Ovis aries: one gene and its partners. The protein of the gene in region 1 binds, or shares a complex with, the protein of each later gene. Links are inferred from orthologs where the notes say so. Each region holds a gene or a part of one and is shown on either strand. Other genes may lie near its edges. The genes, in order: SNRNP40, LSM5, RBM22, PPIH, U6 snRNA-associated Sm-like protein LSm3, BCAS2 and CD2BP2.

What was found.
Region 2: SNRNP40 (region 1) and LSM5 share a complex: the UniProt entries of both Homo sapiens proteins name them as parts of the U4/U6-U5 tri-snRNP complex. The link is inferred for Ovis aries from reciprocal best matches to the Homo sapiens genes SNRNP40 and LSM5.
Region 3: SNRNP40 (region 1) and RBM22 share a complex: the UniProt entries of both Homo sapiens proteins name them as parts of the postcatalytic spliceosome P complex. The link is inferred for Ovis aries from reciprocal best matches to the Homo sapiens genes SNRNP40 and RBM22.
Region 4: SNRNP40 (region 1) and PPIH share a complex: the UniProt entries of both Homo sapiens proteins name them as parts of the U4/U6-U5 tri-snRNP complex. The link is inferred for Ovis aries from reciprocal best matches to the Homo sapiens genes SNRNP40 and PPIH.
Region 5: SNRNP40 (region 1) and U6 snRNA-associated Sm-like protein LSm3 share a complex: the UniProt entries of both Homo sapiens proteins name them as parts of the U4/U6-U5 tri-snRNP complex. The link is inferred for Ovis aries from reciprocal best matches to the Homo sapiens genes SNRNP40 and LSM3.
Region 6: SNRNP40 (region 1) and BCAS2 share a complex: the UniProt entries of both Homo sapiens proteins name them as parts of the postcatalytic spliceosome P complex. The link is inferred for Ovis aries from reciprocal best matches to the Homo sapiens genes SNRNP40 and BCAS2.
Region 7: SNRNP40 (region 1) and CD2BP2 share a complex: the UniProt entries of both Homo sapiens proteins name them as parts of the U5 snRNP complex. The link is inferred for Ovis aries from reciprocal best matches to the Homo sapiens genes SNRNP40 and CD2BP2.

Annotation. Positions count from the first base shown.
Region 1 is NC_056055.1:236,094,139-236,098,206, forward strand, and holds the start of SNRNP40 (U5 small nuclear ribonucleoprotein 40 kDa protein), read left to right. Parts: upstream 1-1,268; 5' UTR 1,269-1,298; coding exon 1,299-1,442; intron 1,443-4,068. UniProt on the Homo sapiens protein: Required for pre-mRNA splicing as component of the activated spliceosome. Component of the U5 small nuclear ribonucleoprotein (snRNP) complex and the U4/U6-U5 tri-snRNP complex, building blocks of the spliceosome.
Region 2 is NC_056057.1:65,579,037-65,583,208, reverse strand, and holds the start of LSM5 (U6 snRNA-associated Sm-like protein LSm5), read right to left. Parts: upstream 2,801-4,172; 5' UTR 2,781-2,800; coding exon 2,735-2,780; intron 1,674-2,734; coding exon 1,578-1,673; intron 1,297-1,577; coding exon 1,269-1,296; intron 666-1,268; coding exon 593-665; intron 1-592. UniProt on the Homo sapiens protein: Plays a role in pre-mRNA splicing as component of the U4/U6-U5 tri-snRNP complex that is involved in spliceosome assembly, and as component of the precatalytic spliceosome (spliceosome B complex).
Region 3 is NC_056058.1:59,831,541-59,835,506, reverse strand, and holds the start of RBM22 (pre-mRNA-splicing factor RBM22), read left to right. Parts: upstream 1-1,166; 5' UTR 1,167-1,179; coding exon 1,180-1,233; intron 1,234-1,662; coding exon 1,663-1,716; intron 1,717-3,118; coding exon 3,119-3,148; intron 3,149-3,740; coding exon 3,741-3,873; intron 3,874-3,966. UniProt on the Homo sapiens protein: Required for pre-mRNA splicing as component of the activated spliceosome. Involved in the first step of pre-mRNA splicing.
Region 4 is NC_056054.1:17,161,326-17,165,463, reverse strand, and holds the start of PPIH (peptidyl-prolyl cis-trans isomerase H), read right to left. Parts: upstream 2,801-4,138; 5' UTR 2,777-2,800; coding exon 2,711-2,776; exon of another isoform or gene 2,376-2,710; coding exon 2,311-2,375; intron 2,020-2,310; coding exon 1,996-2,019; exon of another isoform or gene 1,902-1,995; coding exon of another isoform or gene 1,879-1,901; intron 1,724-1,878; coding exon 1,679-1,723; intron 1,428-1,678; coding exon 1,385-1,427; intron 1-1,384. UniProt on the Homo sapiens protein: PPIase that catalyzes the cis-trans isomerization of proline imidic peptide bonds in oligopeptides and may therefore assist protein folding. Participates in pre-mRNA splicing.
Region 5 is NC_056080.1:116,710,674-116,713,081, reverse strand, and holds U6 snRNA-associated Sm-like protein LSm3, read right to left. Parts: upstream 1,126-2,408; 5' UTR 1,113-1,125; coding exon 804-1,112; 3' UTR 501-803; downstream 1-500. UniProt on the Homo sapiens protein: Plays a role in pre-mRNA splicing as component of the U4/U6-U5 tri-snRNP complex that is involved in spliceosome assembly, and as component of the precatalytic spliceosome (spliceosome B complex).
Region 6 is NC_056054.1:91,954,769-91,958,268, forward strand, and holds part of BCAS2 (pre-mRNA-splicing factor SPF27), read right to left. Parts: coding exon 3,468-3,500; intron 1,184-3,467; coding exon 1,022-1,183; intron 1-1,021. UniProt on the Homo sapiens protein: Required for pre-mRNA splicing as component of the activated spliceosome. Component of the PRP19-CDC5L complex that forms an integral part of the spliceosome and is required for activating pre-mRNA splicing.
Region 7 is NC_056077.1:27,062,918-27,067,191, forward strand, and holds the start of CD2BP2 (CD2 antigen cytoplasmic tail-binding protein 2), read right to left. Parts: upstream 2,801-4,274; 5' UTR 2,218-2,800; coding exon of another isoform or gene 1,597-2,217; exon of another isoform or gene 1,573-1,596; intron 1,300-1,572; exon of another isoform or gene 1,215-1,299; intron 650-1,214; exon of another isoform or gene 581-649; intron 26-580; 5' UTR 1-25. Other genes in the region: sesquipedalian-1-like, read left to right, coding at 1,597-2,217; TBC1D10B (TBC1 domain family member 10B), read right to left, coding at 3,221-3,856, 3,943-4,097. UniProt on the Homo sapiens protein: Involved in pre-mRNA splicing as component of the U5 snRNP complex that is involved in spliceosome assembly.

The DNA of each region.
Region 1 (4,068 bases):
TTTGTGCCTTTTACTCATTTTCCTCGCATTTGCCACAGGACTTCTGCACATGCTGTTCTAGATGGAACATTCTGCCTTCCTTGCTTCACCCAACTAATTATAATTCTTCCCTGAGGCTATCAGTTCAGGCATATTTTCCTTACAGAAGCCGTCCTGTTTATTCAGGCACTCATTAACACCAGGTACCTCTCCTAGGTAGCACACACTTCCATACTTCCCATTTCCTAGTGAGATCTGGTGAGCATCTATTTCCCCCCAACCCCAGACTTAAAGCTCTGAAGTCAGGGACCATGTTTGGTTCACAATGTCTGCCCAGTGCTCTGTATTATAAATATTAGTTGGACGACTGAGAAGAAGGCCTAGTTCACAGGTCTGAGTTCGAATTTCTCAACAAAACTGTACTCCGGAGGCCAAGAGTCGGACATTACCTTCATCTCTATCTTTCTGAGGAGGCGCTAGTAAAGGCTGCGGAATCATGGCAGTGACAAGTCCGCCTCTTCAGTCAGAGAGGACCCTGATGGAGGCTAGGAGATGGGCCTTTTCTCCCTGGGATCGCCTGGGCTAGGGCTCTGCACGGAAAACACTGTTGAAGAAGTCAGCCATCGAGGGCCCCAGGCTGAGCAGAGGCTCCCAAAACTCTGCTCCAGGCTAGAAAGGGAACCCAGGCTAGGTGCTAAGTCGCTTCAGTCGTGTCCGACTCTGCGACGCCATGGACTGTAGCCAGCCAGACTCCTCTGTCCGTGGGATTCTCCAGGCAAAAACACTGGAGTGGGTTGCCATGCACTTCCCCAGAGGATCTTCCCCACCCAGGGATCGAACCCGCGTTTCTTAGGCTTGGAACCCAGGCTACTACACACCAGAGCTAGGAACTCGGGGCCCCCTTTGCCCCTTGCAATCAAACCTGCATCTGAGAAGAGCCAGCCTCAGACCACTCCAGATCCCACAGCCACCCGCCCCTCGACCTTCCTTACACTTACTTGTTGTCTGCTTCTGGTCTTTCCCTCGCAGCATTGCGCGAAACACCAAAACCCAGTCAGTGAGCTTCCACCCACAAGACACAGCGCGCCTAGGCGGGACTCCAGCTCTATCCACCAATCCTGAATTCGTACTCTAGTGATGTCAGAAAGAACTGGCCAATAACAGGAAAGTTCTCAGGGGGCGGTGCTGAGAGGTATATTGGAAGTCGATTGGGTTCTATCGGCCGGAAGTTCTACGGGAAAGACTAAGTCCGAGCCAATCGTGAGGTACCTGAGGGGGTCGGCGCGGTCAGTGGCGGCCTGAGGATAGCGGCTGCCGCCATGATAGAACAGCAGAAGCGTAAGGGCCCAGAGTTGCCACTGGTCCCAGTGAAGCGGCAGCGACATGAATTACTGTTGGGAGCGGCAGGGTCGGGCCCTGGAGCCGGGCAGCAGCAGGCGGCGCCGGGAGCTTTGCTGCAAGCGGTGAGTATAAGGAGCAGGCGGCCTTCGGCCCTCAGCTCATCTTCCTCTCTCCTCAGCACCTGGTGATCCTGCGCGGCCCTTAACCCACACTCCCGGCCGGAGCGGGACTCTCTCTCCTAGGAGTTAAAGCAGAAAAACACGGTAAAAGCGGCGTACACCCGGCGATTCTCCCTGCGTTTCTCCATTTGACGCGCGTTTTCAGCGTCTTGACCGCCCTGTGAGGAGGTGTTAGAATTAAGAATTGAGGATCTTGAGCTAAAAACCGAGACCAGGGTTTTGACTTCTTAAATGTTCCAGGGATCCAGTATAGAATAAACGATAAATTTCAGAAAACTTGGAAGATTGGATGGATGAATGAATGAATGAATGAGGGAAGGGGGGAAATGAATGCCGCTGGCTCGTTTTGGGGACTTGGGAAACTTGCTTTTCCCGTTGTTTCTCTGCACTGGTATTAGTAATAACCAAAGAATAGTTACCATCCGTTGAGCCCTTGTGCTGTGTAAATGAAAACTGCATTAATCTCGGTAACTTCCCAAGAGTTAGGAAATATTATTATCCTAATTTGTAGACGGGAAAACAAAGTTATATAGTAAGTGATAGGACTTCCCTCATAGCTCAGCTGGTAAAGAGTCTCCCTGCAATGCAGGAGACCTGGGTTTGATTCCTGGGTCAGAAGATCCGTGGAGAAGGAAATGGCAACCCACTCCAGTATTCTTGCCTGGAGAAACCCATGGACAGAGGAGGCTGGTAGGCTATAGTCAGTGAGGTCGCAAGAGTCAGACATGACTTAGTGACTAAACCACCAGGAACAGCTTTTAAACTCAGAATCCATGCTCTTAACTACATTTCCTGTAAAACTGAGGTAGTGATCACACCTCTGCTTCTATCCTGTTAGGCTCAGCTGACAAAATATATGTCTTCCCGCCCCCCACAACTCCTCAACCAGCTGGTTAGCAAATGTTGACACCACCCTCAAACTATATCCAGACTCACTACCGCTTCTTCCACCTTCCAGCTTCTTTGGTGGCTCAGACAGTAAAGAGTCTGTCTGCAATGGGGGAGACCCAGGTTCAGTCCCTGGGTTGGGAAGATACCCTCGAGAAGGAAATGGCAACCCACTCCTTTTTTCTTGCCTGGGAAATCTCATGGACAGTGGAGCCTGGCGGGCTACAGTTGATGGGGGTCACAAAGAGTTGGACATGACTGAGTGAGTGACTAACACTTTCTACCACTTCCATCACTAGCTCCTGGTTTAAGCCATTAGGGCTTCCCTGTTGGCTCAGAGGTTAAAGCATCTGCCTGCCATGTGGGAGACTTGGGTTTGATCCCTGGGTCGGGAAGATCCCCTAGAGAAGGAAATGGTAACCCACTCCAGTATTCTTGCCTGGAGAATCCCATGGACAGAGAAGCCTGGTAGGCTATAGTCCAGGGGGTCGCAGAGTCGGACACGACTGAGTGACTTCACTTTTCCTTTTTTTTTTTGCGATTTCACTTTCACTTCACTTGTCTCATCTGGCACTATGGCTGTAGGATCCTACTGGAATTCCTGTTTCTGTTTATGGATGCTCAGTCTATTCCCAAACCAGTAGCCAGAGGAATCCTTCTAAACATAAGATCATATTACCCCCCGCTGAAAACTTGCCATGGTTTTTCACGTCAGTCAGAGTAAAACTGAAATCTTGGCAATCTTTTGCCCTCTTTCACTTGATCTCTCTGATCTACCAATTTTCCATTGCTCACCTTTCTCCAGTCACAGTGGCTTCCACGCTCCTGCTACAAAGTCTTTGCATTTGCTGTGCTCTCTACTGAAATACTCTTCTTCCAAGTGTCCACATGGTTTATACACTCAGCTCTTCCCAATCTCTGCTCAGATAACACTTTTCCACTTTCCTGACCAGCCCATTTTAAATTGCCATACCTTGTGCTCATCTACATTGCTGCTCTGTTTTTCTCCATAACACATGCCACCGTCTATATGTTTTACTTGTTTCTGCTCACCCTCCCTCTTTTCTGTCCTTCCCACTAGAACACAAGCTTCATTTTTTATTTTGTTCAGTACTGTTTCCTAAGTGCCTGGGACGGTACCTGACGCAGTATTTCCTGAGTAAATGAGTAAGCTGGAAACTAAGGAGATTTGCAGATTGTTAATAGTGTGCTTCTGTCTGGCAAGAATATCAGCCTGGGTTTCTTTGAATTGCCGCGACTGCAACTGGTCTTAATGTCCAAGACCATTATCAAAACTACTTTCTTCAATAACCTGTACCCTGCAGGGTTGTTGGAAGCATTCGTTCAATCATTCATTCATTAAACGAACTAGAGACTGGGAAACAGTGTCATGTTACACTGGTAAGGTTCCTGCACTACAGAGCCTTTCTCGTGGCAGAGCAGGGGAGACAAACTAAACAAATACATAAGAAACGTAATTTCAGATAGTGATAAGTTCTTTGAGGGAAAAAAGTAGTGTTGATCAAATGCAAAAGAGAGGTAGGGTGCTGCTTGGGCTTGAGTGTTCCAGGAACAACTTTCTGGAGAGAAAGCACTGGAAAGGAACCACACACAGAAAGATCTCGGGGAAGAGGCCTCCAGTCGGGGACAACAAAAGATCCTGAGGCAGAAGTAAGTTTAA
Region 2 (4,172 bases), on another chromosome or scaffold:
AGGAGGAAAAAGTTTAAAACTTAGTACCACATGATCTAAAAACCCCTACTGAGAGCTCACTGACTGGTCATTGATCAGCCTTTGCCTCTCCCTCATATTCCCATTTTCCCCATGTCACCTCTGTTTACAATTCCAACAGTATCAATTAATACTTAGTGATTTAATGTTTCAACAGTTAATTCTTGGTAAAATAAATGATTAAAAAGCACAAGCAGGGACTTCACTGGTGGTGCAATGATTAAGACTCCATGCTCCCAATGCAGCGGGCCCAGGTTTGATCCTTGGTCAAGGAACTGGATCCCACATGTTGCAACTAAGTAAAGATCTTCTGTGATGCAACTAAGACCCAATGCAGCCAAATAAAAAAATAAATAAATATTTTAAAAATACATAAGATAAAAGGTATAAACAAACTAATCTTAGGCCTAATGTCATCTTCAACAGTTTGGCCACAGAATCCTGATCAGCAGAGCATTCCCTTCCCACCCTAAGCACCACTGGGCCAAGAACATTGAGTCAATCAAGTCAGTTCTGTAATCCCTGCCCCACAAAGATGGCTTAACATCTAAATAAAAGACCTTCACTGTCTTACCATTGTTATATTATTTCCATTTAGCAAAATTTGATCTAATTTAGTAATTCTTCTTCCTTCTGGTGTGATTTCACTAAACAAAAAGATTTTCAAAAAGTCAGGATAAAGAGTGATAATCAAAGCCAACATTCTGATCCACCAAAAGGTTAGTTACTATATATAAATGAACTGTACACTTTCCAGAGACAAGGTTATCCCCATGGTGATGTCAATTCTCCAAAGGCAAGAGAGTGGACTGACTGGCCTAAGACCCACATCCACTAGTGCAGATCTTCATCTAAAAAACTGAAACTTACCAAGGAGATCAAATATGAAATAAAATGTTTATATATATATATATACACATAAGTTTTAGAGTAACTAATTTAAAACATTAAATGTTTTTATTATAAGTTCCTTTATTTGATCTGAGCGCTAAGATCCCTGGCTGCTTTTAGTATCTTTTACCTTAAACCTTTGTCTCCACTAACTTCCTAGCAATTAGTGACAATTAAATTATGGTAATAATCCTCCAATCCAATTTTACTAACATCAGTAGGTAAACTTTCTCTCTTTAGAGTAATTCAAACAGGCAGTGTGCTCTCCTACATCCTTTTACTGACTCAACAGCACTAAAACTGCCTTAAATCAAACAGAGATTCCCCCTACCCATTCTTTAATTTTTAACACTACTCACAATTCAGTGACATCTTCCAATACCATATCTGAAATTTGGTGTTAAGAAAATAAACATACCAAATTAAATTTACTCTGGCTTATTTCTTTGTTCAGTTTTAATTATAACATTGAATACAATGGCTCAAATGCAAGCTGCGTGCAATTGGTAGGAACTTCATCTTTCAGTACCACAATCCCTTAAAACACTATCACAATTTCCAAAAAAATAAATTAAACTTTATTATAATAATCGGTAAGTACTGATAGTCTATAGTTCTTTTTTAAAAATCTGAAGAAAAATCCATACAACCACCTTTTAAAAGGATACTGACAAAGTCATCAAATCCCAGAAGTGTGCCAACAATCTCTTTATCACTCTTCATCACAATGTGAATTCTTGATCCTATACACTTGTCCACAAGCTCTGCAGATAAGGGCGGGAGAGAGAAGATTAGTTTGCCCATTCATAACATTAACAAATATTTGAATGCCTACTGACACTTGTTACATGCATATGGTGAAAAGATAAGCCAGGAAAAGTATTCACTCCAAAACTTTAGACCTTATGTTACATATCTCTGTTCAGTCATTCTATTAAAAGGACAGTTTTCCCTCCCTGTTATTCATTTAACCCTCCTTTGTAGCAATTTATCATGGTTGTAGTTTAATACTATTTTAGTTATCTGATTAACATATGAACGCCCCTCTTGACTCTAAGCTGAAAGAGAGCTGAGAGGTGGTTTTTACTCATCAGTGTATCCCCAGTGGACAATGCCTGAAATGTACTGGTCATTCAGAAGAATTTGTTCCAGGATGGAAAAAAACCTTTACAATAACTGCCACATCCACTAACCCGATAACCCTTCAAATATAAAATATTAAGGGGAAAAAAAAGGCAGAACTGTCTTCACCAGAGATTCCTCCTTGTCATTAAGTCTATGTCTGCCCTGTATCCTGTTTCCTACACTGGTTTGTATGCTATCTGAAGGTAATGGCCGTGATTTAAATTTGTTGAACAGTGCCCAATCACAGTGTCTAGTGCACAGATGGCGCGGTAACTGCTTGCTGAATAAATGAGTAACAAGAGCTAGTTTTCAGAGGCCTCTTTAAAGGCTCATTCCAGACCCAAGTGCCTCACTCAGAAACCAGCCAGACAGGATATAACCCGGGTAGTTTAAAAGCCCGGTTGCGGAATGGGCCTCTTACTATTATAAAGGCGAGCACCCAACAAAGAAGGTCAACGACACATTCACCAAGACTGAACCTTTCCGGTGAAGGTTTGGGGAGTCAAAAACCCCTGCCTCAAGAAGACTCCCCCACGCCAGAGAGACTTGTGCGGCCTCAGGCCGCCGAGACTTGGAGCCTAAAGGAGAGCTGCAGAGAAAGCTACGTTTTTCTAACACTCGGTCAGGGACTGCCTTGCTCTTCGGCCCCAACCCTAACTTTCAACTCCCCGCCCCGGCTCCCCAACAGGACAAAGATTACCTAGAGGAAGCAGCTGCGACGGGTTAGTGGTAGCGTTAGCCGCCATGGCTACGCCGGAAGTGGCCTGCCTCTATCGACGTCGGAACGGCGAGTTTGAAAGAGCGCGCTTCCGCTTTTTTCCGGCCCAGGCAGGCTCGACCAATCTGAGGCCGAGAGTGCGATTGAGGAGATCCAGCCACTTCTTTATCCTGCAGGGAGATTCTAGAAAGTGTTTCTGTTCACTGAGCGTTCTAGGTTCTCCACAGATAACTCGCCTCTCCAAACTTCCAAGAGACTTTAGAGATCTCCGGTCTTATAAATAAGTTATTTCTCTAATCCGGAAGCCTGCGAAACGGAAGCCTTTGTGCTGTCTTATTTCCCCTTATCGAGGTGTGTCTCATATCAACCCAGGATCTTTCTTCGACCAGAATCAATAAATTTGATTTTCCCGCCACCGATTCATTGTGTTGCAATTTTCGTTAAAAAAAAAAATCTACCGCTTCTTTTAAAAGTTTGATGATTTGAAAACCCACAACTAGCATTTTTAATAAAGTTTGTTGGGCGAGGGGGAAATTTTAAGTATGTTTTCTATTTTCTACTATCGTTTTCTTTTTCTATTTTTCTATTCTACTTTTTCAATTTTTTCCATTTCTATTGTTTTCTATCTTCTACTATCAGGAGTTGGTGATGGACAGGGAAGCCTGGTGTGCTGCAGTCCATGGGGTCGCAAAGAGTCGGACAAAACAGTGACAGAACTGAACTGTCCTTTTTAATCTTGTAATATCTAGGAGTCTGCTATACATTTTGTATACACTATTTCTTCCACAGTCCAACAGGCAACCACCAGATGTCATTCTATGTTAATAACATCACATTTAGGAAGCCTTGCTGCTTTTACGCATCTGTTTTGAAAAGAAAAAGCGAACAAATTTTTTGCGTTGGTCTATTTTATGTTTATATCTGAGGAGCTTAAAGCTAAAGAGTTTAAGCAGGAAAGGCCAGGAAGGACATCATTCATTCACACAATGGCTGCAAAGCACCAATCATTCATTCATCGAACAAATACTTTAGTTGAACATTGGCATTTTGCTCAGTATAACCAGCGTAAAGAACAGAACTACAACGTCTTCTGCCCTTATAGGAGCTAAAGGATAAATGGGGGAGAAAGACAACTAGCAAGCATTATGTACAAAGCACGTGGAATTTAATATGTAAAGCAAAAAGTGCTCTTTTAACTTCAGGGATCTTAGTCAATCGTCACATCATTCTTTGGCAAGACAAAGTAATGCCAAAAAAATTTGTTTTCCTATATCTATTCTTGTTTCATTTTCACCATACCATAATGTGAATAGGAACCAAATTCAAGGTATTGTTGCTACCTGATAGAGTTTAAAATTCAAGAAAATAAGCTTTAAGTCAATATCTTGCTTTCCATTACAGAAACCAAATTAACATTCAG
Region 3 (3,966 bases), on another chromosome or scaffold:
TACTGCCCTCAGTCTTTCCCAGCATCAGGGTCTTTTCAAATGAGTCAGCTCTTTGCATCAGGTCGCCAAAGTATAGGAGTTTCAGCTTCAACATCAGTCCTTCCAGTGAACACCCAGGACTGATCTCCTTTAGGATGGACTGGTTGGATCTCCTTGCAGTCCAGGGAACTCTCAAGAGTCTTCTCCAACACTACAGTTTAAAAGCATCAATTCTGCGCTCAGCTTGCTTTATTGTCCAACTCTACATCCATACATGACTACTGGAAAAACCATAGCCTTGACTAGACAGACCTTTGTTGACAAAGTAATGTCTCTGCTTTTTAACATGCTGTCTAGGTTGGTCATAAATTTCCTTCCAAGAAGTAAGCGTCTTTTAATTTCATGGCTGCAATCACCATCTGCAAGAGAAGTCAAACCCAAAATAATAGTTGTTCCAAAAATGATTTAACAATACACATGTTGATCCATAAGGCTTTTCATTTAAGAAGTTGGAAAAAAGTACTGTTGTCTTTGGATTTCTGGCTTCACCGTTTTTTAGCTACACGACCAGAAGCAAGTTCATCTCTCTAAACCTCGGTTTCCTTCTATAAACGAGGTACAGTCACACTTGCCTAGAGGGCAGTGGTTGCCAGGAAAGTGCAGGACATCCTCCTAAATTTCACTTTCAGAAAAACGAGTCATTACTTAGCGTAAGCATGTTTGGAACAAATTTATACTAAAATAACTCGTTGTTTATCTGAAATTCAAATTTTACTAGACGTTCTGTTTTTGCTACATCTGGCAACCCTATAGCGGGCTTACTGTGGGAATTAAATGAGATAGTCACCGCAAGACGTTCCCCCCACTTTTTGGCATAATAAGCGCTCACTGGGGTCGACGCTGTTTTAATTCCAGGCCCTCGTTCATTCTAGTTCCTTTATTCTTTCACTCAATTTTTAAATAAACCAGTTGAACTTGTGACTCTTCATTCCTGGCTGTCACCACTGGAAGGAAGTAACTAGAGGCCACTTGTCAAGAAATTCCAAGCGAGCGATGCCATTACACAAGGTGCCGCCCTCAAGGGCGCGCAAGACGCGTAAATAAGACGTCGACGTGCCGAGAGGCAGCCGCGGGGCCTGACGGGATTGTGGCGGTCCTCTCCCAACTCGGAAGCTGCGGCTGCCTCCAGACGCTCTCAAGATGGCGACCTCTCTAGGTTCCAACACCTACAACAGGCAAAATTGGGAGGATGCGGTGAGTGAGCCTGCCGGAGGAGAACAGAAAGAGGCAGCGAAGTCAGGCCTCCAGCGGGCGGGCAGGGACGTGGCTGCGGTGCGGCCGAGGGAATTCCAAGAAGAAGCCAGCACCGCGGCCTAACTCAGCTACGGCTGAAGGCTGGAGGGCGGCCCTCCTGCGGGCTTGGATGGAGGGGGTTTAGCCAGGGTCTGGGACCAGCTCCCTTTCTGTGTCTACTCCCTCCACTCTTTTCGAGCGGGTCTTTACTCCCGCCGCCTCCCGGAAGTGCATACAGCGCCCGCTCCCGCGACCCGGCCCGTGCTGGACCACGGGTTCCCCCTGTTCCCCAGCCTCGCTCCTCGCCCCCTCCCCCGCGCCGCACGACAGTGGCTGAGACGGCAAGGCCTTTGGAGCTTGGCGTTCAACCAGCTTTCCCATTTTCACCAGGACTTCCCTATTCTGTGCCAGACGTGTCTTGGAGAAAACCCATATATCCGAATGGTGAGTGATTGAGTGTAAAACGGGACCTACTGTATGTATTCTGTCAATGTTTTGGTACTCGCACACTGTCGGTCATGTATTTCTCTTAGCCACGAAGAAGTAATGATGCTTCTTTACTAACCCGAAGTGTAGGAAGAATTTGCAAAGGACTGTCATGTTCTCTCACTTTGGAACTCGGCGACAGTCTGTGATCTAGGAGTCATAATAATAGTTAATCGGAGAAGGCAATGGCACCCCACTCCAGTACCCTTGCCTGGCGGAATCCCATGGATGGAGGAGCCTGGTGGGCTGCAGTCCATGGGGTCGCTAAGAGTCGGACACGACTGAGCGACTTCACTTTCACTTTTCACTTTCATGCATTGGAGAAGGAAATGGCAACCCACTCCAGTATTCTTGCCTGGAGACTTCCAGGGACAGGGGAGCCTGGTGGGCTGCCGTCTATGGGGTCACACAGAGTCGGACACGACTGATGCGACTTGGCGGCAGCAGCAGCAGGTCTGTTAACCAGAGGCAAAGAAAGTTTATTTCTTTTCAATACAGCAAGTAAGGTGTGGAGCTGGCATTTAAGTTCAGATATTCTGACTCCAGGGACCTCAACAAATTAGAAGGAGAACCAGGACTGAACTCAAGTACCTTTTGGCCTCCACACCTTATAATGTGTTTAGTGTAAGGTACTTTCTCTCCTTATAAATAAGAGTAAAATTAGCAGCAGTTTATATTTAATAATTGGGGCTGTGTTGTGATCAATCTCAGAGATATTGATTTATTATATAAGAGGACCATCACAGGATGAGGCTGTAGTAGTTACCTCTGACTAAACTTTGGAAAATGGACCGGCCCTGGCTGCATCCTCTGTGCTTTAGGCACTGTGGAAACCATTAGGAAATTGTTCTTGGGAGAAAACTTGGGAGCCAGAGGTGAATCTTAAGAATTGTGGTTGTGGAAAGGTACATACTTACTCCATGTTAGATCCATAAAATTCTTAAGAGGTCATAGTTTGTATGTGATTAGATTATATCCCAGCCCCTTCCTTGCCCTCCCCAAAAAGGGTAGGGTCCCATTTCCCTATCCTACCCCTTAAGATGCCAGGGATTTCCAGATACTTTTCTTGTATCCTATGTGGAAAAGACTCTGATGCTGGGAGGGATTGGGGGCAGGAGGAAAAGAGGACGACAGAGGATGAGATGGCTGGATGGCATCACCGACTCGATGGACGTGAGTTTGAGTGAACTCGGGGAATTGGTGATGGACAGGGAGGCCTGGAGTGCTGCGATTCATGGGGTCGCAAAGAGTTGGACACGACTGAGCAACTGAACTGAACTGAACTCAACTGATGTAGAGAAGGAGCAGGCATCAGCTTTTTTCCCCTGTGTCTGTAACTCCTCTATTTTTTCTATTTCAGACCAAAGAAAAGTATGGGAAGGAATGCAAAGTAAGTGTGTTAAAGAGTAATGATTTAGTTTTATTTTCCTTTTTTCTTCAACTCCCTGAGGTTTGAAGTTCTTTATAAAAGTGAGTGTGACACTGTGCATTCATGTATCATTTATGTACTCTTTGGCTGTTAACTACTTAGGGTAGGAGTAAGAAAATGAGCCACTTAATGCAAGGATTCTGAACTTGATGTCTGTGGTTGGTCTTTGAACCCCCTGGGATTGCATATACCAAATGTTCTGTGATTATGCCTATGACCATTTTTAAGCTGAGGGGGAAGGTCATAGATAGAAGATTTTTAAAGAAGCATAGGACACTCCCTACTCACCTCATAAAAGATTAAGAATTACATTGTTAATGCTGGTGACCTCTAGAGTGGGAGGACTTTGATTTTTGAGTATTTAAACTACTGAAGAAGACTGTTGTGAAGGATTGAAACGTCAGATCCTGTTTAGCCTAGATGATTGCTAAGATCTCCTCTAAACCCTAGATTTGGGGATCCTTTCTTTGAATCCCCTGCTGTTACTAAATCTCCTGGATTAATTGTCCAGATCTGGACTGTTAACACTCTGTGGCTTTATCTTGTGTTCCAGATCTGTGCCAGGCCATTCACAGTGTTTCGCTGGTGCCCTGGGGTCCGCATGCGTTTCAAGAAGACTGAAGTGTGCCAGACCTGCAGTAAACTGAAGAATGTCTGTCAGACCTGCCTCTTAGACCTCGAATATGGTATGTTTGACTTGTCCCATAGTTCTGAAAGTGTGCCAGTGCTCTAAACAGCAGAGCAGTCTTCCTGTCTCTGGTTCTGACCCACTTTGAAAT
Region 4 (4,138 bases), on another chromosome or scaffold:
CTTTAGAAGGTCTCAAATTCTGCTTCTACGTCTTGCTCATTCTATTTTTTCTGCCCTAAGGGTGGCTCTGAGTAATTTCTTCTCCCTGACAGCCTTCTGGCTGACTAACTGCTAACTCTAGAGCAATTAGCAAGTGATCACATGTGCCTAGCAATGACCCATAAGAAGTTAGTCCTATCCCTGCTAAGACAATATAGCAGTATAGAAGCCTTTGGAAGAAAGAACACAGAGAATAGCATCTTAGCCCTTCTTACTTGCCAATAAAAAAGGATATGGTCACCCCAAGCCCTACTCTAATCAGTCGTGGCCAGGGGTTGCAAACTTAAATGCCTATAGGAGTATGTGACGTAAAGAAGGGAAGCCAGTGGTGGGAACTGTGGTGAAATAATAAGGACATACCTGTCTAAAGGGAGCTGTTACTTGACTCAACCAAATGTTGCTACATGAGAAACACAGGCCAAGTGCACCCCTACTTTTCAGTTGTAACAGAGAAAACAAAACTCCAGAACTTTCCGGAAAATTTCCCAGTTTTACAACATCATACAGATGATACAAAGCATATCTGTTTCGGATTCAGCCCCAAATCTGCCACTTTGTAAACTTATCTGGGTAGGAAAGATAGAAATCTTAAAAAAACTCCTAACAGTCAAACTAAATATACATGTAAAGGATAAAGAATGTCTCCCAGATCCAAGAAAACAGCAACATGACTAACCAAATGATATTAATAAGAAAGATCATGCACAGAAATGGGTGGGTATGGACAAACGTAGGTTTAAGAAAGCATAAATGTGGTTTATTCAGAACCCTGCAAGGTTGGGAAGCTTGAAATGGGGATGCATACAGTGGCAAGAAAAATCATGCTTAGCAATGAAGGATTAATTCAATGGGTTCTCCTAGTGAATAGGGAAAATATCCTTCCAGAACTCTCTGATTTCTTGCCCACTAATGAACTTGATTAAAAAAATAACAACTCACCTTCCGAGGCACTGGGATACCAGAAGTGAATGGGAAATCAGGGCATAAGCATTTAACTCACTGGAAAGGGACTTGCCCCCATTTAGAGAAAGTTAACTGTAACTGATTTCTAGCTAAATTCCATGTGCCCAGTTAATTTGGGTCTGTCATGGATCACCTATAGGTATGCTGGGAAAGTCAGTTCCCAGCCCTAAAAGACTGAGATTTGGAGTGAGTGACTCAATCAAAGTGCTAATATGTTATCTAGTGATGCAGCGAGTAGCAGCCATCACAGGATATTCCCATTCCCACCTCCTCCCCCAGCAAACTTGGCTACTGTTCTCAGTTCCCCGAGGAGCAGCTTCAATAACAACAACCAACAAAAACAAAACTTATAGGCCCTTAATAGGAAAGGAACAGTACTTACATTAACAAAATCTCCACCCTGAATCATGAAATCTTTTATGACCCTGAAACAGAGAACAAAGGATGCTGGGAGAAGATTGTGTGGTTTGGAATAACATTAATTTCAAAATATAATGTTTATCACTTCAGTCCTCAAATCAATGGTTGAGTTCACAAAAGCATCCCTTCTCAAGAACTAAGAATTATGCTATGGTTTTGTTTTCCTCTGAAGAGACTAATCCCCCAAGGAAGTAATTCTAAACCATACTAATAGTAATTTTAAAAGTCCCCCAGGATGGCTTGCCAAAGGCCTTACCTGTGGAAGGTGCTCCCCTTGTATCCTATCGGAACCCCATCTTTTCTATAAGCAAAAAGAAAGAGACTTGAAATGGTAAACAGGTAAACATAGGCCTTTCACGTTTACCATACAGTCGAGCCAGAGACACCCTTCTAAAGATGGTCGGGAGAAGAGAGACGAAGAAGGCAAATGAACTGAGGACAGACCCATAGTAATACCTTCTATTACTGTCACCAGTCATACAAGGCCTGCCGGTGATTCCCCAATACCCTCAACTGCAGCCTCAGGACAGCCCTCAGGAGCAAGCAGAGAAGTCAACCACGTCAGAGACTGACCTGAATTCTCCTGTGCAGAACTGCCTGAAAAGGAAAAGAGTGAACGATTCAGTCGCCATGGCATCACAACTCTGAGCGTCCCTAACCTCAGCGGGAAGGGGAACGTCGGCGCTAGCTAGCCCACCAACTGGCTGGTCAGACGTCCAGGCATACAGATTAACATAAACTGAAAAGGGGACGGTCAAGACTATTCAGAGAGATACCCAGAGAAGTCAGATCTCAAGGACGGTGAATGAACGGATAGAGGTAGGCAGAAGATTCCACAGACAGGCCCAGCTTCTCGTTTGGTTTATCCAGCAAAGAACATCATCTTACCTAAAATTCTCCGCCGTCTTAGGCACAACGTCTGCAAAGAGCTCAATCTTCATACGACCAACCTCCTGCAACCGGCGAGAGACGTTCAGAAAGCCCAGTCCAAGCCCGTGAAGGCCTCACCGAACAGGGAACCCTCGGGCCCCCATGCCGCTTGGTCTCTCCCACCTCCGCCTCCGTAGCCTACTCTTCCGTTCCACCCGGTCCCTCCACCAGCCGGGCGCTAGGATGCGCAAGACTCCTCCTCTTCCTACTCCCTCACCCCCGCCCCGCAGGTCGGTAGGTTCTGGTTCAATTTCACTTTTTGGCTTCCCGAGTTTGCTACACCTGAGGAGGTGATCTGCCTGCCAGACCGCGTGCACGTTCCCTTTGGCATCGGGCTGGCTGGCTGCCAAGACCTCACCTGGCCGCCAATGCTGACATCAAAGAATACCACGGGATTGACAGGGCTTGAATTTGCCACCGCCATGCCTCTGACCCGGAAGCAGAAGTCGGGAGCGCGGGGTTCCGGCGATCCTATGATCTTGCTCCGCCGGGAGGTGTTTATTTCCGGCGCAGGCGCAGGAAGAGCCGGGGGGGGGGGCGGTGCGGTGGGAGGCGGTCGGCCCCGCCCCCGGAAGCTCTCTGCCTTCGATGCCAAGCTGCGCGCTGCGTGGGTGGCCGGGGCTTCCTTCCGTTTTGACGAGTCGCAAGTTGTTACCTCACCTGAGTCTCCTTGAGCGCTGAGGCCGGAGGACATCCTCGGCTTTTTTTTCGCTCGAGGCCCACGGGCCTCTCATTCACTTGGATACAGTAAGTGCAGTACGGATGATTCTCGCTCAGGCTACGGGGCTTGGACTAGGCAGTCTTCAGGGTCTGATCAGCCTTTGCAGCCAAGACCGTCTGAACCATCATATGTGCGGCCTCTTACCCCTTTTCACTAGTCTGGAGGCCCGGAAGCAAAAACCGTGTTTATCCTCAGCGCTTTGAACAGCCTGGCATATAAGGCTTGTTCAGTATATTCAGCACTTTCATGAAGTCAGGCACTAGACTTTAATTCCAGTTCTCCCACAAGCTTCCGCTTTCATCATCTCCAAGTCACTTACTGCAGAGCAGCTAGAGCTTTTAAATGAATCTGCTTATAAATCACTCCCGGATTCCCTTATTTAGAATAAAATCCAGTTGCTACATAAAAGACCTACATTACATTATCTGGCCACCTACCTGGGACTCTAGCCTGTTCCTCTAGGTCACGGAGACTCGGATTCTATTTAGGGCCTGTTAACTGACTTTAATATTCTTCTAAATCTTCATGAGGGTGCGGAGTGGTCTTGTAGGTCAAGTCTCATCTCAGGTCATTAGTCAGGAACATTGCACCCAATCTAAAGTAGCCCTCTGTCACTCTTTTGGATAGATTACTGATTTTCTTCATGCCATTCACCATCCAAAATTATATGGTTTCCCCACCTCACCAGCTGCTTCACACTTGTTTAACTCCATGAAAATGAAGCTGGGTCCTTCGTAAAAACCGGGTGCCTTTGCAAAGCTTAGGAATAACCTATCTATAACGTTCCCTTTCTTGTCCACCTGTTTCCCTCAAGGTTGTTGAGTACCAAAGAAAAAGGCATTGAGACAGCCGGCCCTTGGCAGGACACTGCTGTGTATAAAACCCTTGCTTATGTACCTGATTCCTTGTTTGTAGAAAGACTTGACCCTCCTGGATCTTGTTCCAAAGAGCAGATCCAAATAGTTCCTAATGAGGGAATGCAAAAACAAAGGAAAAGCAGTCACAGAATGATAGTTCAGGGACTTCCCTGGTGGGTCAGTGGTTAAGACTATGCTTCCAGCACAC
Region 5 (2,408 bases), on another chromosome or scaffold:
AACTATCCTGGGAGGTAGGTGGTGTTATCTACATTTTATAAACAAGAAAATCAAGGCTCATAAAATTAACTTCCACGAAGTCTCACATGTAGGAAGTGGTAGAGTCGAGATTCCATCTCCATTCCCATTCTTTTCAGAACACACACCTGCCTCTTCAAGAAGAGAGCTGTGGGACTTCTTGGGTGGTCCAGTGGCTAAGACACATGGCTCCCAATGCAGGGGGTTGGGGTTCAATCCCCATTCAGGGAATTAGATCCTACATGTCACAACTAAAAGAACCCACATGTCGCAACAAAATTGAAGATCCTGTGTGCCATAGCTAAGACCCAGGGCAAACAAACAAATAAATAAATATTAAGGAAAGAAGAGAGCTATATAGCTGATTCACTTTGTTGTACAGCAGAAACTAACACAACATTGTAAAGCAACTGTACTTCTCCCCACCAAAAAAAAAAAAAAAAAGAATTCAAAAGAAAGGAAGAGCTGAAAACATATGAATATTTTTTTAAGTTTTGTTTTTATTTTTTATTTTTTTTTATTTTTTTTATTTTTTATTTTTTTATTTATTTTTTTTTTTCTGTATCGCGCCGATCACATTTATTGGAAGGGTTGGAGAAAAATAAAAATGCCGTTTAGCTGAAGTATTTGTGAGTTATCTACAAATCAACTTATTTCAGGAGTGGAAGAATTCTTGCTTATTTTCAGCATCAAGATGCACATCGGTCTCTCTTTGGAACATCTTCCACACTCAAAGAGGCCACCGCACAGCACAGCCCGTCTCCCACAGGCGGCGGATTCTCGTTTCAGCCAACTCTCAATGGCGGGGCAACCAGCACAACGCCGTCTCCCCGCACAAAGAGCATCGGAATATTCCGTTTTGTTGATTTATATATTTCTTCATATGTTTCTTCATCAATTTCTATAGTTGTCACAGTTTCTTCCACATCTCCCAATATCATATTTAAATGTTGATCATAAGCGTGTAACCGGCCTCGAAGTTCTCTGTCGTTTCTCATCTTCACGTAGATGCGCTCGTCCAGGCTGAGCCGGATGAGATCCAAGGGCTCTTCCACAGTGTTGGTGGTTTGTTGCTGGTCCACGTCGTCCGCCATCTTTCAAACCCTCTTAAGTTTTGTTTTTAATGTGGACCGTTTTTAAAGTCTTTATTTGTTAAAATATTGCTTCTGTTTTATGTTTTTTTGGCTACAAGGCATGTGGGATCTTAGCTCCCTGACCAGGGATCTAACCCATATTCCCTGCAATGGAAGGTGAAGTCTTTCTTAACCACTGGACCACCAGGGAAGTCCCCACAAAACGCATTTTAATTGAGTGAAGAAAATAAAACATTTCATGTTTACAAAGACAAAAGACATAGCAAAGAACTTGTGGAAAAGCTGAAACCAAGAAAAATGAGATTTTTGGAAGTTGGAAGACAGACCTTGACCAAATGAGATCATCTTTAGGAAAGAAGTAAAGCCTGGATCCCAAATTCTCTACTGCGTTACCCAGTATTTTCTCACGTGATGATGTAGCAACCACTTGGTAATCATGGAGGAAAAGAATGACATCTGGAGCCAGGCCGACAAACCAGAGCCAGCCACGTAAGATGGTGCCGAATGAAAATACTAGCTTCCCCAAGACACTCAGAGATCTTTCCCCAGCTTTTGGATGGCAGAAGGCAACGACAGGGCTTGCAGCCAGTGCCCCAGCATCTTCCTCCTCACCCCTTTTGACTTTATTATTCCTGATAACCTGGTCATGCATATACAGCTACCAAACATTAAGTTTTCTTGAAGTCTCACAGCTTTGGGTTTTCTTACCAAGTCATGTGACTCAGATCTAGGCCTAGGAAGTAAACACTGTTTCCTGAATCTCAAATACCCACTCTACTTATGTTATTCTACACCTCCAAGAAGCTCTTGTCAAAACAAGATTAAACACGGCAAGATTTTATTAGGAGAAATGACTGTATGAAAGTAATTAACCTCCAATTAAAATAAATAAATTTATATTTAAAAAAAAAGAAAATAGAGAAGGAGCTGTGAGTGAAGCCTGACTGGTAAGGAGGGAAAGAAGAGAAAAGGATGTATGGAAGCAGTTGAGACTACCAGGCAGTCTAAGGAAACTTCTGCAAGACCTTGAGCCAAAGTTGTCCAACAAAGGAGTCCACATGTCTGCCTTAGTATCCCTGCTGTACTAAGTCATGGGTGCTTCCCTGGTGGCTCAGATGGTAAAGAACCTGCCCACCAATGCAGGAAACCCGGGTTCAGTCCCTGGGTGGGGAAGATCCCCTGGAGAAAGGAATGGCTATCCACTTCAGTATTCTTGCCTGGAGAATCCCATAGACAGAGGAGCCTGGCGGGCTACATGCAGCTGCAAAGAGTTGGACACGACTGAGCTACTGAGCA
Region 6 (3,500 bases), on another chromosome or scaffold:
AACAGAAACTGAATTGTTTGTGCTGCAGTTTCTTAACTTCTGGATTTTGCCCACAGATCCTTATGTGCCCACAGAAGTTTGATGATGATTATGAAAACTTGAGAAAAGCTATTTACCATTTTGTGATTTTTGCTTTACTGTTTCAGGACTCATCGTCTAACAAACGGTTTTATGCAGTCATGAGGTTCAATGGCCTTAAACTGTTAATAGAAATGTGTGATTTTAGGGCTCAAAGAAGCCATGAAGATCATCTAACCACTAACTTTTACAAATTGGAAACTGAACCTTAAATACTACAGACAGCAAAACCTAAAGCTAATTATGTGGAAAAGAAATAGGAGTTCAGTAGCACTCTTGTTTCTGATGTTAAGTCTCTACTTACAATCAATTCTCATTATCTGCAGATTCTGTACAAGAGAATTTGCCTATTAACTCAAATTTATTTGTAACCCCCAAATCAATCCATGCAGAGTTCTGTGATCATTCATGGATGTGCTCAAGAGCAGCAAAAAATTCAGAGTTGCTGGACATGCGCATTTCCAGCTAAAGCAGAACAAGGAGATACTCCACCTTCTTGTTTCAGGTCTCATGCAGAGATAACCAGAGCAGAGAGTGTAATTTCCAACTCTGGCAAGCTACTTAACACTTTTGAACTTTGTCTTCTCTTTTATAAAATAAAGGAAATACAGAGCCTGTCAGGGTGAGTTGTTATAAAGTGTGTAAGATTATCGTCTATATGAGATGTGTATATATATACACATGTATGTTATTTCTCCCAAATGCTGAAATGGTTCAGTATTTGCTAATTCAATATTCAAGGCAACTTTAAAAAGCAGAAAGCGCAACTAATGAGAGCTGACTGTATAAGCAACCCCCCACATTAAGGATTATAGTCTACTACCAAGCTGTTTTGTAAATCAGACCTCAGAACTTGCTATTGCAATGTTACACAATAAATGTGTTAGGTTTAGGTCTCCTTAAACAGGTGGGATGGGTTAAAAAAAAAAAAAAGGGTTCTTACTCATTATACACTTTCCAGGCATTGCATCCATGCTGGGACATTAGTTCCAGATTCTCAATTCGAACTGCCTGATGCTCTAACTGCGCCATAGAATTGTTTACACACTCTTGCCATGCAGTGATGTCATTTTTCTGACCAGAGGAAGGGGCTGGAAGTTCGTATCTGAAATTAAACAACAATGAAATAAAACCATATATTCCTCCAAATCTTTCTCTCTACTCCCAACAGAATGCCTCATAGGTCTACCCACACTGTAAAAACAGAAGACTGAAGCCAACCAGAAGACTGAAGATAACACGTAGACCTTGCAATAATAAGAAGCGCATTTATGCTAAGAATCGATTTACAAATAAGGTTTAGCATTATGATATACAGTAACAAAAAACTGTTCACTTCATTGTGAAATGATACAATAAGCTACAGTCTACATTCACAAAAAGGACTGTTATATTGGCTATTAAATGTTACTCAAGAATACTTGGAATATTAAAATGTTTGTAATACATTAAGGGAAAAAAATCAGGATATGAAAAACTATGCTATCATTTTGTAAAACACACCTACATCTATGCACCCTCCTACCCACATATCTACACCCCTCTAGAGAAAAAAATGGCAAAGGTATATAATGATTTTTACATTTCACACTCAGTCTTTTCTCTATTTTTAATAATACCCAGTCCTTCAATACTGCCAATGTAGCCAGCAACATATACTCTTCATAAATCCCAGCTCATTACTGAGTTGTTACAAATTAACTTTCAATTTCCATTTTGTTATTTTTATTAGATACTGTAAAAACTTCATATCATTCCTATGAAAAATTGAGGGATATGCAGCTGGGACTAAGAAGTAATAAACCACTTTGTTTCTTTTTTTTTTTTAAAGCAAACTTTACACATACATCGTAACTGTATCATTTTAAGAACTTCAGATCATAACCCACAATAAGAAATATTTTACACTGTGACACAGTATACAAATACACAGAACTGAACAGAAGTTTCACAAAACAGTACTTAACTTTACATGCAATGCATTCGGATTTGTTTTTTAATCTTCCTTAAAAAAAAGTGCTGTGATGTCTTACTAAACTTCACAATCAACTGCTTAATGGATTATAACCTACTTATGGGTTTAAAATATGCTGTTATGAAAGAGCTACTACTGTGAAAACCTTTAGAGCAGAAGCAGCTAGAAATGTGAGAACTAAGGAGCCTTGGAAGTTTTTCTGCTTTTATCATGTCAGGCCAGATAGGAAATGGAGCATAAGAAAAGAAGAAATCCGGTCCTTTGGTTCTATAGGCTCAAATCCCTCTTATAATCTGTACATATGCTGAGAGGATAACTCCACTGTTCACGTGGCCCTCTCCGCTCTGCCAGATTATATATTGGTTCTCATCACTTCAGAGTTATCTGAGAGCTGAAGGGGACCTCAGATGGTAAGCAACCCAATTCCCCATTTTAGAGAAAGTAACAATTGTCACCCTGCTTATTTAACTTATATGCAGAGTACATCTTGAGAAATGCTGGACTGGAAGAAATACAAGCTGGAATCAAGACTGCCGGGAGAAATATTAATAACCTCAGATATGCAGATGACATCACCCTTATGGCAGAAAGTGAAGGGGAACCAAAAAGCCTCTTGATGAAAGTGAAAGAGGAGAGTGAAAAAGTTGGCTTAAAGCTCAACATTCAGAAAACTAAGATCATGGCATCTGGTCCCATCATTTCATGGCAAATAGATGGGGAAACAGTGAAAACAGTTGCTAACTTTATTTTTTGGGGCTCCACAATCACTGCAGATGGTGACTGCAGCCATGAAATTAAAAGACGCTTACTCCTTGGAAGAAAAGTTATGACCAACCTATACAGCTTATTCAAAAGCAGAGACATTACTTTGCCAACAAAGGTCCGTCCAGTCAAAGCTATGGTTTTTCCAGTAGTCATGTATGGATGTGAGAGTTGGACTTTAAAGAAAGCTGAGTGCCAAAGAATTGATGCTTTTGAATTGTGCTGTTGGAGAAGACTCTTGAGAGTCCCTTGGACTGCAAGGAGATCCAACTAGTCCATCCTAAAGGAAATCAGTCCTGAATATTCATGGGAAGCACTGATGTTGAAGCTGAAACTCCAATATTTTGGCCACCTTATGTGAAGAACTGACTCTTGGAAACGACCTTGATGCTGGGAAAGATTGAAGGTGGGAGGAGATGGGGATGAAAGAGGATGAGATGGGTGGATGGCATCACCAACTCAAAATGGACATGAGTTTGAGTAAACTCCAGGAGCTGGTGATGGACAGGGAGGCCTGGTGTGCTGCAGTCAATGGGTTGCAAAGAGTCGGACACGACTGAGAGACTGAATTGAACTGAACTGACAAAAGTTTTACTAATAAATTAAAATTAAAGAATGATCTGAGCCCAGCTGAACCAAGAATAGGACTTACCGTTTCATACTGAGCAATTCAATTGGTTGTCGA
Region 7 (4,274 bases), on another chromosome or scaffold:
GACTGGACAGAAGGGCTTTTCCAAACTGAGCAGAGGGAAAGGGTGCAGATTAAGGGAACTGGGTGAGGAGGCAACTCCCCGCGAGGGGGCCCCCTGCACAACAGATCTTTTACTTGGCGGGTACTAGATCCACTTTGGGAAGGGAGTACAGAATCAGGAGCCGAAAGGCGAGCTGGTAGTCCAGAACCCGCCCCTCCCCCCGCCCCTCCCGGGACTTGGCTTAGCATCTAAAAGAGCCGCTGGTGCGGAGACGCAAGAGCGGACGGGCGGAGGAGCTCCTACGGGCACCCCCACCCTTGACAAGAGGAGACGGGCTCCCCCACGTGACCACCCTTATTCCAGGCCCCAGCAGTGCTGGGCGCGATGTGCTTCGCGGGTAAACACCCGCTCCACCACCCCCAGCTTCCTCGGAACCCGAGGGGCCCCGGCAGACCCAGGACCTAGCGCCCTGGCAGCCCCGCTCCTCCCTGCGCCGAACTCCCAACTCCGCGGGGTGACTCCCAACTGTCTTGGGCTGTGTACAAATTAGAAAGGCGGCAGGGCCACGGGGACACCAGCAGTCCCGCCGGCACGCGCTCACCTAAGGATCCAGGAAAGGTGGGGGAAGAAAGGGAGAGAGGGTTTCACCAGGGCTACATCCGGGCCACCCGCCCGCCACCACCCGGAAGAGAACTGCGGAAGGCGGCGGGGAAAGCCGGAAGTGGCTTCACTCGGGTTAGATGAACAACTGAAGGAGCGGGCGGAAGTACGCGCCGCGCGGGGAGAGACGCCCCCTCCCAGAAGTGACGCGAGCCGTGTGGGGTGACTATGGTGAGAAGAGGGGACATTTGAACGCCTAGACCCTGATCGGACGAGGATGGCCGGAAGTGATCTCGGTTTCCTCCTACAACACTAGAGGCTCTGAGGAGAAAGGGGCGCCCAGGTTCACGATGGAGGAACAAAGTCCCAGCAGGGCCGGTGGGTTCCTGCCCTAGTTTTCTCTTTCCCGGGTTGTCTCCTTTTCCCCACGGCTGGTTCTGCGCCCTTCATCATCTCATTAGAAATCCTGCCTTCCTACTCTTGGCGTCCAGTTGTCCGCCCTTTGCTAGTCCGAGGTGTAGCCTTGCTGTTGTCCCAGAGGTTCTCCTGGGACTTTCCGAACCCAGCTCCTTTTAGGACCCAGGGGAAGTCTAAAATCAGCCGCCTCCTATCCCCTGGCCAAGTTCCTGGTTTCTGAGGTGGGAAGAGTCAAATAGGAGAGGTGGCAGTGGCACCTGTTCCCAGTACCGAGGCCTGAAGTCCCTTGTGCCCTCATCTCAGGTAGGCCTGGGAAAGGGCCGTAGTGGATATCCGCCAACCCCACCCCCAAACAGGACCCCAGCACTACAGTCCTGCCCAGGTTTTGTAATTTGGCCCAAGGGGCAGAGCTGAGGTTGGGAGGTGGGTGGAAGGTCCTTCTTGAAAACTCAAGTTTGAATCCCTCTAGACCAAGACCAAGACAGTGCCCAGAAAGAGCCTGCTGGAACCAGAGGAGGGCAGTGCTGGGGTACTCCGGATCACCAAATGCCCCACTCCTCCTTTCTCCACTCCTAGGGTTTCTTCCCACAGTGGGCTACCATGAAACTGCACCGAAAGTCCGTGCTCCGTTTCTTCCGTGGGTACAGAACACAGGCTCCAGACCGGGAGGGCATCCTGCTAAAGAAGGGGGCCCGAAATACCAGTTATCAGCGCCGCTGGTTCATCCTGCGAGGAAACCTCCTCTTCTACCTGGAACACCAGGCTGACCACACACCCCTGGGTCTCATCCTATTAGAGAACTGCCAGGTGGAGCCACGCCTTGGAGCCACAGAACCTTATGCCTTTACCATTCGGACTCCAGGGGGAGATGGTGGGCGGGCCTACAGGCTGGCAGCAGAAAACCGGGAGGAGCTGAGAGCCTGGCTGTGGGCGTTGGCCGGAGCCACCTGGACGCGGCTGGCTGAGCTGCTACGCCCCCTGGAGGCCCAGTACCGGGAGCTGTGCCAGGCAGCTGGCCAAGAGCCCGGCTCACCCCCAGAGGACTGTGGCTCCCCAGCCACCCCCAGGACCCTCTTCAGCTTCCAGGAGTTGCACGAGCACTTTGGAAAGGAGATCCGGATGCTGCAGGCTGTCCACAGACAGTTCCAGGAGGCCAGTGACAACGGAGGCAGCAGATCCCCAGCAGGTGGAGGTGAAGCAGGAACGCAACAACTGTGTTGATGAGTGACTAATAGACTAAAGACCCAAAGGTATCTGCCAAGTCCAGTCAACAGCTTCCAGAGACACCCAGATCCTTGCTAACTCATCACTCCCTCCCTCCTTGTCCTTACTTTAACCCCACTCATCAAATAACAAGGCAAAAGACAGGCCCAGGTACAACAGCAGGTTCTTTTCCGGTTCCTCAAAGCGGCCGAACAGGGTGGGGGCAGAGACAGAAGAACATGTAAACATTGGGTTCCACCCCCTGGGGCTCAGGGGAAGACCCTTACCCAGGAAGGGGCTGGAGGGTTGGAAGGGACAAAGTGAAAGGCAGGGGCCCTGGTCAGATAAAGCAGGGGAGGCCTGAGAATACAGAGAAAGGTGGGTGAAGAGGAAGGAGAGCAAGGAGGGTGGTGGTGGGAGGTGGGAGACATTTCCTGTTCCAGTGCGTGTCCCCTTAAATAAACTAGAGTGCAAGAACACTGAGGAGGGAGAACCAGAGAACAGAAGATGGAGTGAACACCCCCACCCGGGGCCCACCAGGTCCTCTGTACATAATTACAACACAGAGATGTCCAGAAGGAGAGCAAGAAGAGCCTGGGCCCCCAACCAGGAACTGGGGGAAGACAGGCAGGACTGAAGGGGGTAAAGGAACCCAGCTTCACTTCACGGGTAAGGGGAGTGACTGGAGTGTAAGAATCTGAAAACTGCTGACTCCCACTGCCACAGGTCACCCCTGCGGTGACCAAAGGCCAATCAGGAGAGTGGCACCTGGGAAGGGACCCCAGTTGGGCCGAGCTGGAGGTGAGGTGTCCACTGCTTCCCCAGGGAAATGCAGCTGCCCCCCGTTCTGACTGTCCTGGCCACGTGGGGATCAGCGGCTGGCACGGAGACGGGGAACAAGCCACTTTCCTCAAAAAGAGGGACAGCCTGCCAAGGGCGGGCTGGGAGCAGGACCCCAGGCTAGGTCTGCTCTTGGCTGAGGGAAAAGAGGGGGCCACGTAGTCCAGCCCCAGGGCAGAGGTCAGAAGTACGCATCCTGCCGGGCCTCTGATGCTGAGGACCTGTCCCCGCCGTCCTGGGGGGCAGGCGGTCCATCTGCCTTTCGATGGAGTGAGAGCTTCCTGCCCTGGGCCTTCTTCTCCTGCTTCTGCCGCTCCTTCTCCTGTTTCTGCTGCTCCTTCTCCTGCTTCTGCCGCTCCTTCTCCTGCTTCTCCCGTTCTTTTTCCTGTTTCTGCCGCTCCTTCTCGCGTTCCTTTTCCTGTTTCTGCCGCTCCTTCTCCTGCCTCCGGGCCTCCTTGCCGCTAGGGGCCAGAGGGGCGCTGTTGCCAGTAGGCGAAGGAAGGGATGGACGCAGTCCCTCGGCGGTGACCACGGGCCCTGGGGCAGGCCCCGCGCTGGCCCTGCGGACGGGAGGGGGTGGGGAGGGGACCCCTCCACCTGCCCGGGAGCCCCGGCTCTTGAGGCCAGGGAGGCTGAGGAGGCTGGAGGAGGGGCCCAGGGGGGGCAGCTGCCGCCGGCGCTCCTCGTGGATGGCCCGGGAACCGTGTAGTCTCCGTGAGGGCCGATACTGCAGCTCGCCCCGGGTTTCCAGCCACTTCTTGAGCTGGGCTGCGTTCTCTCGCTCAATCAGTGCTTCTGTCACTTGGAGGTTGGTCACCTAGATGGAGAAGACATGGGTACCAGGGTGAAGTGGGGTGGGGATCTACTGAAGCGGGTGTGAGGTACGCTAAGGCCAGGACCTACCTCGTGCACCAGGAAGTCCTCCTGCATGCACTGCTGAGGCAAGTTCCGCAGCTGCTCCATGGTCTCATACATGCCTTGGCAGGAGCGCAGCTTTTCCACCGAGCCCAGCGTGTGCCGCAGCAGCACCAGGGCCACCCGGAAGATGATCTTGACGCCTGCAGGCCCGAAGAGAAGAGGCCATGGGTGATCAGCCTGGGGGGTCTCAGCCTGGCCCGTGCAGGGGGTACTCACAGCCCCCATCCCTGTGTATTGTTGACCCGACAGATGAGGAAATGGAGGCCTTGAGAAGAAAATGAGCCACCATGGGTTTTAGGTTCCTGGGAGGCAAAGCA